Canis lupus familiaris: one gene and its partner. The protein of the gene in region 2 purifies or fractionates together with the protein of the main gene of each other region. This does not show direct contact. Links are inferred from orthologs where the notes say so. Each region holds a gene or a part of one and is shown on either strand. Other genes may lie near its edges. The genes, in order: CD81 and CD19.

Region 1 (4,394 bases), on a different chromosome or scaffold from region 2:
GAGCCTCTGCTCTTCCTGAAATGCCCAGCAGCAGGAGCCTGGAGGGTCACAGGCTTCTGCCAGGAAGCTCCGGGTCCCACCCCCAACCGGGAGGATTTCCACGCTGCGGGGCAGGGTGTCTGCGCCATCGTCTTCCAGGCTTGGCCACGGTTGCTGCTTGCAGTCCTACTCGTGGCTTGATGCCTGCCAGGCCAGGGAGCCCCAAAGTCAGGCTGTGGTCAGGCATGCTGAGTGCATGCCACCTGGGGTCCCAAAGTCCTGGTTCCAGGAGGAGAGAGACGCACTCCTTCCTGGGGAAGCCAGCCTGGCTGCCTTTGAGGACTGCTCCCATGTGTGAGCCTTTTCACTCTCTGAAATGAAACTTTTAAAACTGCCCCGATGCAGGTACCCACTGTCAAAGTCTCCTCCCGGCTCCCCCTCAGCACCCACTCCTGTACGGTGGCCACGGTGCACAGTGAGCGAGTCAGGCCAGGCACTGGGGTGCCCTCCCTCACCCACCACCCTCTGGGGCATCCGAAACCCCTTCCCCGAGGCACAGCCCACACCGGGCCAGGACAGCAGGACAGCAGTCTTCCTGCCGGCCATCCGTGCCCTACGACCACCTCCTGAGCTCGCCTGTAAGGGTGTTAGCTAATCTGCCAGCCCCGGGAGACAGGACGTGGAAAACGTCCACCTCAGGGGGCAGGACTCCAAGGCCCAGGACTGCAGCAGAGGGGACAGGGCTCCACCACCCAGAACCAGCCCCTCGGCACCATGCTGCCAGCCAGGTGAGGCGGGACGCCCGCAGAGAGGGGCTCTGCCACAGTGGTGGCCCCCAGCCCCACCTTGCTCAGCTCTGCATGTCTGTTGCAGGGGTGGGTGGGACCGAGGCAACTGGACCGTGGGATGCAGCGCTGAGTGCTCAGCTGGGTGGCTGGGAGAGGAGAGGCCTGGAAACGTTTCCTCAAGCCTCAATGAAGAGCAGCCCCTGGGGATGTGTCAGGCCTCTGCCCAGCTGCCTGGGGAACTACCGGACTCGCTCAAGCAGAGCTGGGAGGTGAGCGCGGGCTGCCCTGGAGACCTCCCAAGCTGGGCAGCGGGGAGGGACTTACCCAGAGCTGACACTCAGCCCAAGGACAAGAATCTACTCCAGAAGACAGCCTCTATGTCTGTCTACCCTCCACTTCCTGGTCAGGGTCCTCACCCCACATCCAGGCTCCGCTGGTAGGGGAGGGGCTCAGAGGCCAGCAGAGGGGTGTCTGGGTGTCCCTTCACCCCGACCCCTATACACCCAGGCCATAGCAGGCAAATACTAAATCGACACTCAACACCACCTCTTCGGCAAAGACCCCAGGCATGGTTAAGGTCATACCTGGCCCATCCTGACAGTCCCCGTGCTCCCCACTCCCCAGGCAGAGGCCAGTGGCCACAGCGACCCCCAGCTGTGCCTCCCACCCAGGCGGGGGGCAATGCCTCCACTTCACCCTCAGCTAAAGCTCCGTCCAGTCTCTGTCCCCGCCACCCCAAACACCTCACTGCCCCAAGATCCACGCTGGGATCCTCGGATGTCCAGAACGGAAACAGATGTCCCCAATCCCACACACTTGCTCTGGGGACCATTTTAAAAGTTTACCCTCTTGCATCTACTTGGGAAATACACTGTCCAGCAGATGTTGTCATGGTCCTTTCCCAGAAGGAGTGAGCAGCCTGGGTGGCGAGCAGCACACAGCCACCCAGGAAGGTTCCCAGGTCCTGCGGGGGGTGGGGGGTGGGGGGGGGGAACATGACTGGCCACGAGGAGGCAGGGCAGCGCCAGGAGAGGGGTTCCTGCACCCACTCGGGGCCCCTCCCCAACTCCAACACAGGCAGGAAACCGAAACAAAGCCAAAGCTCCAGCGTTCCTGGCCAGCAGTTACCACCCAGGCCAGGAAAACGCGACTTGCAGGTCAGCAGCCTGACGGCCCTGAGACCCTCCTGCACCCCAAGATGAACATCCTGTGGCTACCTCTTCCAAGGTGGACGTCCAAGCTCAGACCGAAGCCCAGACCTGGGCATCCCCTGGGACCCAGGCTCCGGAGGGGCCCAGAGGCGCTCGGGTCCACGGGGCCCCCTGCCCGCCCTGGCCCCACTCCCCTCAAAGCCTCCACCGCGTCCTGGCCGGGGCAGGCTGCAACCCCGGGCTGGGGGGGCAGTGCAGGGGGCCGGCCCCACCAGGCGCGGGCCGCTGGGGGCCCCCCACGGCCATCCCCGGGGCGGCAGGGCTTGCTGGGCCGGCCGTGGGGCGAGGGCTTCCCAGGACCGCACCGAGTGCGCGGCCCCCCTGCCCCCCGCCCCCCGCCCCCCCGTCCTTCCAGGGGCGGCGGCTCGGATGAGCTCATGGGGGCGGGGCGCCGGGAGCCCCGCCCCCCGAGCCCCCTCGGTGCCGGCGGAGCAGGGTGGTCCCCTCACGGCGGCCCGCGGCCCCCAGCCCGCTCCCGCCGCGCCGCCCGCCATCGCTCGGCGGGCTCAGCCCCCACGGCCCCCCGGACGCCCCGGCCCGGCCCCGCGCCCCGACAGCCGGCTCGCAGCACCCCCTCCGCCCGTCTGCCGGCCCCGGACCACCCCCCGCCCGGCGCCCACAGGTGGCCCCTCTGCGCGGCCTAGTGGGGCGCGCGGCCTGCCGGGCTCGGGGCGTCCCGGCCCCCCCCGCCCCCCGCCCCCCGCCGGGGGCTCACCCAGAAGACGAAATTGAAGACGAAGAGCAGGTACTTGATGCACTTGGTGCAGCCCTCCACCCCCATGGCGGCGCGGGCGGCGAGTGGCCTGCGGGGTGCGCGGGGCGGGCCGGGCCGGGCCGGGGCGCGGGGCGCGGGGCCTGGCGGGCGGCGGGGCGGGGCGCGGGCCCGGGGCGCGGGTGCTCGGGGCGCGGGTACTCGGGGGCGCGGGGCGCGGGGCGCGGGAGGCCGGGCCGGGGCGCGCTGGGTCGACCGCCGCCGCTGCGCGCTCGCTCTCTGGCCGCGCGCGCGCCCCCGCCGCCTGTTATAGGGCGCTCCGGCCCCGCCCCCGGCCCCGCCCCCGGCCCCCGCCCCGCCCCCGGAGCGCGCGCTCCGCGGGGGTCAGACCTGGGTGCCCCGAGCCCAACGCCGGCCGGCCTCGCGGCGCCCTGCGAACACCTTCCCCTTCTCTCGGCCTTCCCCAGGCGCTTCGGACAATCCAAGGAGGCTCCCTGGAGGAGGTGATGCAGCAGCGAGTGCCCCCCAGGGTGGGTGATGAGCCTGACAGCCAGCCGGCCTGGCTTGAAAATCCTGGTCATCCACGGTAAGGGCAGTTGTTGAGCACGGCGACAGAGTCTGCTTGGAAAGGTCCCTGAGACGGTGACCGGTGTTAAATGTCCAGGAGACCCCAGCCACCTGTAGGACAGCCTCCAAACACTGTGTACTCTGCTCACCCCGGTGGAGGCCAGCCCCACAGTCAAGTCGGTTTTCTGAAGATGGGGGCCGGGGGGCAGGCTGATGGGGATGCGGGCAGGAGGGGACCCATCAAGTGGGCAGTGCTTCTCCCCAGGTGACAGAGCGGACCTGTGGCCTGGTGACTCTCGGATGAAGAAGTGGAAATGTTCCGTGTAACCCTGGCACAAATGACTGCTGACCCCTTGACACGGGGCCAGTGCCACCACCCAGCAGGACCCAGATTTTTCATTGTACTTCACTGCAGTGGGAATGGCCCTGGGTGGCCAGCAGCTTCCTATTAGCCGGAGCAGCCCTAGCTTACTCCTGTCTCTGTACTCTTATTTCTGTAGTTTTCTTGGTGGTTAATTTAAAAAAATCTGTTCCAGGGGCACCTGGCTGGCTCACTTGGTAGAGCATGGGACTCTTGATCTGGAGATGGTGAGTTCAAGCCCAGTGTTGGGTGTGGAGCCTACTTAAAAAAAGAAAGTTGGGGTATAAATAAAATATAATAATAAAATCAAAGTCCATCCTGGCTTCCTGCTTGTATAAGAGCTATGCACACGTGTTTGTACATAGTGTAGTGTTTGTGTGTGTTGAGATAACATTATAATAAAAATGGCTTACATCCTCACTTGGGGTCTGCCAGGGTTCTTTTTTTTAAAAAAAGATTATTTATTTGAGAGAGAGAGGGAGAGGGAGTGTGCAAGCAGGAGGGAGAGGGAGAAGCAGGCTCCCCACTGAGCAGGGAGCCTGATGGAGGGCTCTGTCCCAGGACCCTGAGATCCTGACCTGAGCCGAAGGCAGATGCTTCACCGACTGAGCTCCCCAGGTGGCCCTGCTAGGATTCTTTTTGCGGAAAAGGAGGCAGAAGAGGTCTCCAGGGTGACAGGATGCTTGCATACGTGTCCTGGGCACTCTGCTCTCCCATCAGGCCCCCGCTGACCACAGTGATAGGTTCATTTCCTGCCAAAGCTGTGGGATGAATCC
Region 2 (4,410 bases):
CTTGGGTCAATGGAGGGGAGGGGACTTCAAAGTAAGTTGGAGGGCGGTTAGAGGAGTGGGAAGCAGGACTGGAGATCTGTGGGGGAGGTATGGAAAGAGAAAAGGTGGCTATCGGACTGGCTGGTGTGAGCTGTCCTGGGCGGTCCTGGGGAAGATGGGGTATGTTGGGCAGACAGGCTGGAGGACATGACTCACCTCTTCGAAGATGAAGAAAGCTCACCAGGGAACCCAGGCAGAAGATCAGATAAAGTAATGGCACAGCAGGGACTTTCCAGCCACCAGTCTCCAGCAGCCAGTACCTTACTGTGAGGGAGAAGCAGCTATGAGAAGGGACCCCAGGCTGGCATGCTGCTCCCCAGCCTCAAGACCTCAAAGGGGCATAAGTCTGGGGACATGGACAAGACACAACCCCCAAATCACAAGCTACCAGGGGGGCTCGCCTCCCTCCCTCTGAGGTCCGGGACCATGCCCCAGAGCCTGACCTGAGGCCTAGGGCAGTATCTACAGAAAAAAAACATTACTATAGTTAGACTATGTTGGGATTCAGGAGAGCATGAAGATCAGCTTCCTGCTGCAGTTAAGGACAGTCATGTTCAAAGTGAAGGACAGAGTCACATTCACAAAGTTAGAGGTAGGAAGCAGCAATGTACTGGGGTGAAGTGTAGAGTGAAAGTTGAGGTTGAGTTTGAGAACTGTGGTTACGGTTAGCATGGGAGGATTATATCAAGGGAGTAAGAAGGGGCAGAGCACTGTGACCAGTTTGATGGGTGGGTGAGGAAAAGGAAGGATACCCAGGTTCCTGGCTTTGGCCCATGGGCAGGTGGTAGTGTCCTTCACTGACACACAGACACCCACAAGACTTGGGGAAGATATTGAGTATGACTTTGTATATTTTGAACCTTCAGGGGCATCAAATGACAGGAAATGGCTGGGGGTGAGGTGTATGGAGCCTGGAATCAAGTCACTAAGGCGTGGAGGCCTAAGGAGTCATGGGAGTAAAGGAGGTCAAACAGGAAGAGTGTGTAAACAAGAATGAGAGAGCACTGATGGAACAGGATGAGGCCTCAGAGGTCCAACAGTGAGGGGGGAGGAGGAGAAGGAAGACCCTACCAAAGCAGTTGGGAAGAAGTAACCAGTGATAGGAGACCCAGAAAAGTAGTGATTTGGAAACAAGGGAGGGCAGAGGTAGCGTCAGTGGTCAGGATAGAAGCTGGGGTTTGGGATGAGTCTGGTACTAGCTCCCAGGTAGGGGCGCCAAGGTTGACTGGCTCCCAGTTCTTCCCAGGAGCCCCACACAGATGCCCCACCATTGGGAGAAGCTCTACCTGACTGGGCAATGACCTTCAGCTGCATCTCGACGGTCCTGTTGCCATGGTAACAACGATAGGTACCAGCATCTCGAACTGTGGCCTGGGGCAGCAACAGAACAGCCCCTCCGCTGAGGGTGCCCAGGACCCACATCTCTCTGCCTGGGGCATCCTCCCTCAGGTCTAAGCTCAGCAAGGAGATGTTATGCTTCTTGGGGCGCACGTGGGTCCAGGAGATGGGGCCTCTGGCCACGAAGGCAGGGGGCACCTCACAGGGCAGCCAGAATGTGGAGCCAGGGGCCACGATGAGGTCTGGGGCAGGGAGAGCCAAGGCTAGGAAAATGTGATCCTTGGGGTCTCCTCCCTGCAAACCCTCCAATTCCCAATCACCATCCCCTCATCCCTGAAACCCTCCCTTCCCGGCATCTCCGCAGCACCTTACCTTGGTTGAGGCTCTGGTTCAGAGTGCCCCGGGGCAGGGCACATTCAGGGTCTGTCTCCCAGATCTCAGGGTGGTCTTTTTCCCACACGTACAGCTGGGAGCTTGTGGGGTAACGAGAAGAGGGCTTGGGGCCCTCTGAGGGTCGGTTCCCCAGGCCACAGCCTGAGTCATTTAGGGCTGAAGCATTCCACCGGAAGAGCTCCCCTGGGAAGAGACCCAGAACCAGATACAGACACATCCAGGAAAGGCAGAGAGATACAGAGACCCAGAAAACCAAAGACAGATGGAGACAAAGACCCAGAGAGAGAGATAAGAACGACAACTCAGAGAGAGGAGAGAGTGAAAGATGGAACAGCTCAGTGTTGAAGTCACAAAGCCACAGGAGTTTTGAGGAGCCACCTGGAACCAGCGGCAGGCATGCTCGATCCTCAGCCCCTCCAGCCCCTCCTCCCAAATCTGTTTTAGCTGCTGAAGGCCTCCATCCGAGCTGGGCCTCCCTCTTCTCGTCCGCCCCTCCCTGCCCCAGCCCAGACCTCACCACTGCCTTCCACGCTGACTGTCCAGCCGGACTGCCAGGCCTGCTCGGAAGGGGGCCCCGGCTGGCACAAGTAGAAGCCCCCCATCTGGTCAGAGACGTTGAAGACGAACAGCTGGATGCCCAGAGACCCCTTCCGGACGCCCAGGCCTTGTGACCAGAGGCCCAGCTCTGACTGAGCCCCCTGAAACCAGGCCTGCTGCTCAAGGGGACCATCTGAGGGAACTTTGAGGCATGGCAGCTCAGCTTTGCCTCCCTCTGAGGAGAAAGAAAGAGGGAGAGGAACCCTTCGCCCCCTTCATTCCTCACACTGGATTATTACCCAGCACCCCCCACCAGCTGGGAGTGTGTGAGCTCTCAGAGTCCCAACTCCTCCCTGAATTTTGCAAATAACAAAATGAAGGCCCAGAGAGGGTGGGTTCCTTGGCCGAGGGCACCCAGCGGAAGCCAAGTTTCCACCCCCAACTCTTTCCATCTGTACCCTTTGGACATACCTTTAGCCTCCACCTGCAGTGTTTCCTGGGGCCTGACTCCCTCGGGTGTAAGGAAGAGGAGGAAGAAGAGGAGGAGAGGAGGTGGCATGGCGGCCAGACTCCCCGGGGCACCCAGCTTGGCCGCGCAGGGGATGCTGGGGCAGGCGGGGGCCTGGGGGGCACTGAACCATGAGCGTCTGTGGGGGCGGGCGAGCGGGCAGTCCCCCAGGGAGGAAGGGGTGGTCACACCTCCAGTCCCCTTCTCCATGCACCCCTCTAGACCCACAAAACTTGTCTTCTCCCTGCCACGCTTTTATTTTCATCCCGATACTTAACCACCGTGTGAAATGATCTTGTTTGTGTGTCTACTTGTTCACTTTCTGTTCCTCCCACTAGAATGTAAGCCCCTTGAGGCAGAGCCTTGGTCTTGTTCAACACTGTATGCTCGGTGCTCTGGGACGGTGCTTGGGGCATAGCAGGGGGCCCAATAAATATTTGTTGAATTGAGTGGCTCCACTTTTGGGGGCTCTCTCCTCCCCTTCCCTTCTTTAACCCCAGGCTTTAAACCCATTTCTCTTCACACACACACATACACCCCATTCATTTTTTCGACTGACATTTCTTGGGCCTCCTTCCCACTCGGTAAAACCAGCCTGTCACACATCCTTTGAGATCTGGAAGACTTGACTGAATGCTCTGTGCCTGGGCAGCCCGGGTGGCTCGGTGGTTTAGCACTACCTTCGGCCCAGAGTGTGATCCTGGAGACCCAGGGTCGAGTCCCACGTTGGGCTCCCCGCATGGAGCCTGCTTTTCCCTCTGACTATGTCTCTGCCTCTTTCTCTGTGTCTCTCATGAATAAATAAATAAAATCTTAAAAAAAAAAAAAAAAAAAAAAAAAGAATACTCTGTGCCTACCACTTGGCTAAGTTTCTTCATCTCTCTAAGCTCTGGTTTCTTTCTCTGTAAACTGGGGATAATAATAGCGCTAGCAAAATCTCATTTGGGGGGCACTGGGTGGCTCAGTGGTTGAGCTCAGTCTGCCTTCAGCCCAAGGCAGGATCCAGGATCCTGGGGTCCCAGGATCGAGTTCCGCATCAGGCTCCCCTTGAGGAGCCTGCTTCTCCCTCTGCCTATGTCTGTGTCTCTCAAGAATAAATAACTAAAATATTTTTTTTTAAATCTTGTTTGTGAACAGTTTTTAAAAAGATTTTACTTAATTATCCATGAGAAACACAGACAGAGAGGCAGAGGAAGAAGCAGGCTCCATGCAAGGAGCCCGATATGGGACTCAACCCCAGGACTCCAGGATCACACCCTGAACCAAAGGCAGGCGCTCAACCACTGAGCCACCCAGGCGTCCCTTGTTTGTGGACATTAAACAGGGTGGTGTACCTATGGCATTTGTCCCCAGGGCCCAGTACATAGTAGGCCCTCAGTTACTGAGAGACAGCATCAGTCAATGGCCAAGAGCACAAGCCAGGCTGCCCCTGGAGCTCCTGCACAGCAAACCCAAGACATGCCTGGTGACAAATGCCCCTTAGTCTCCCACTTCTTCCCCCAAGAAGCCCCTGCTTTGGTGATGGAAGGAACCCACTTAGAAATGGGGAAATTGAGGCCCCCAAAGGGCAAAGTGTTGCCTGAGATCACACGAGA

Evidence for each region.
Region 1: the proteins of CD19 (region 2) and CD81 purify together in Homo sapiens (affinity purification with western blotting, with the first as the bait; 3 studies listed by BioGRID). This does not show direct contact. The link is inferred for Canis lupus familiaris from reciprocal best matches to the Homo sapiens genes CD19 and CD81.

The regions. Positions count from the first base shown.
Region 1 is NC_049239.1:46,911,306-46,915,699, reverse strand, and holds the start of CD81 (CD81 antigen), read right to left. Parts: upstream 2,959-4,394; 5' UTR 2,760-2,958; coding exon 2,694-2,759; intron 1-2,693. UniProt on the Homo sapiens protein: Structural component of specialized membrane microdomains known as tetraspanin-enriched microdomains (TERMs), which act as platforms for receptor clustering and signaling.
Region 2 is NC_049227.1:18,583,674-18,588,083, reverse strand, and holds the start of CD19 (B-lymphocyte antigen CD19), read right to left. Parts: upstream 2,931-4,410; 5' UTR 2,867-2,930; coding exon 2,779-2,866; intron 2,543-2,778; coding exon 2,288-2,542; intron 1,954-2,287; coding exon 1,750-1,953; intron 1,641-1,749; coding exon 1,326-1,640; intron 304-1,325; coding exon 196-303; intron 1-195. UniProt on the Homo sapiens protein: Functions as a coreceptor for the B-cell antigen receptor complex (BCR) on B-lymphocytes. Decreases the threshold for activation of downstream signaling pathways and for triggering B-cell responses to antigens.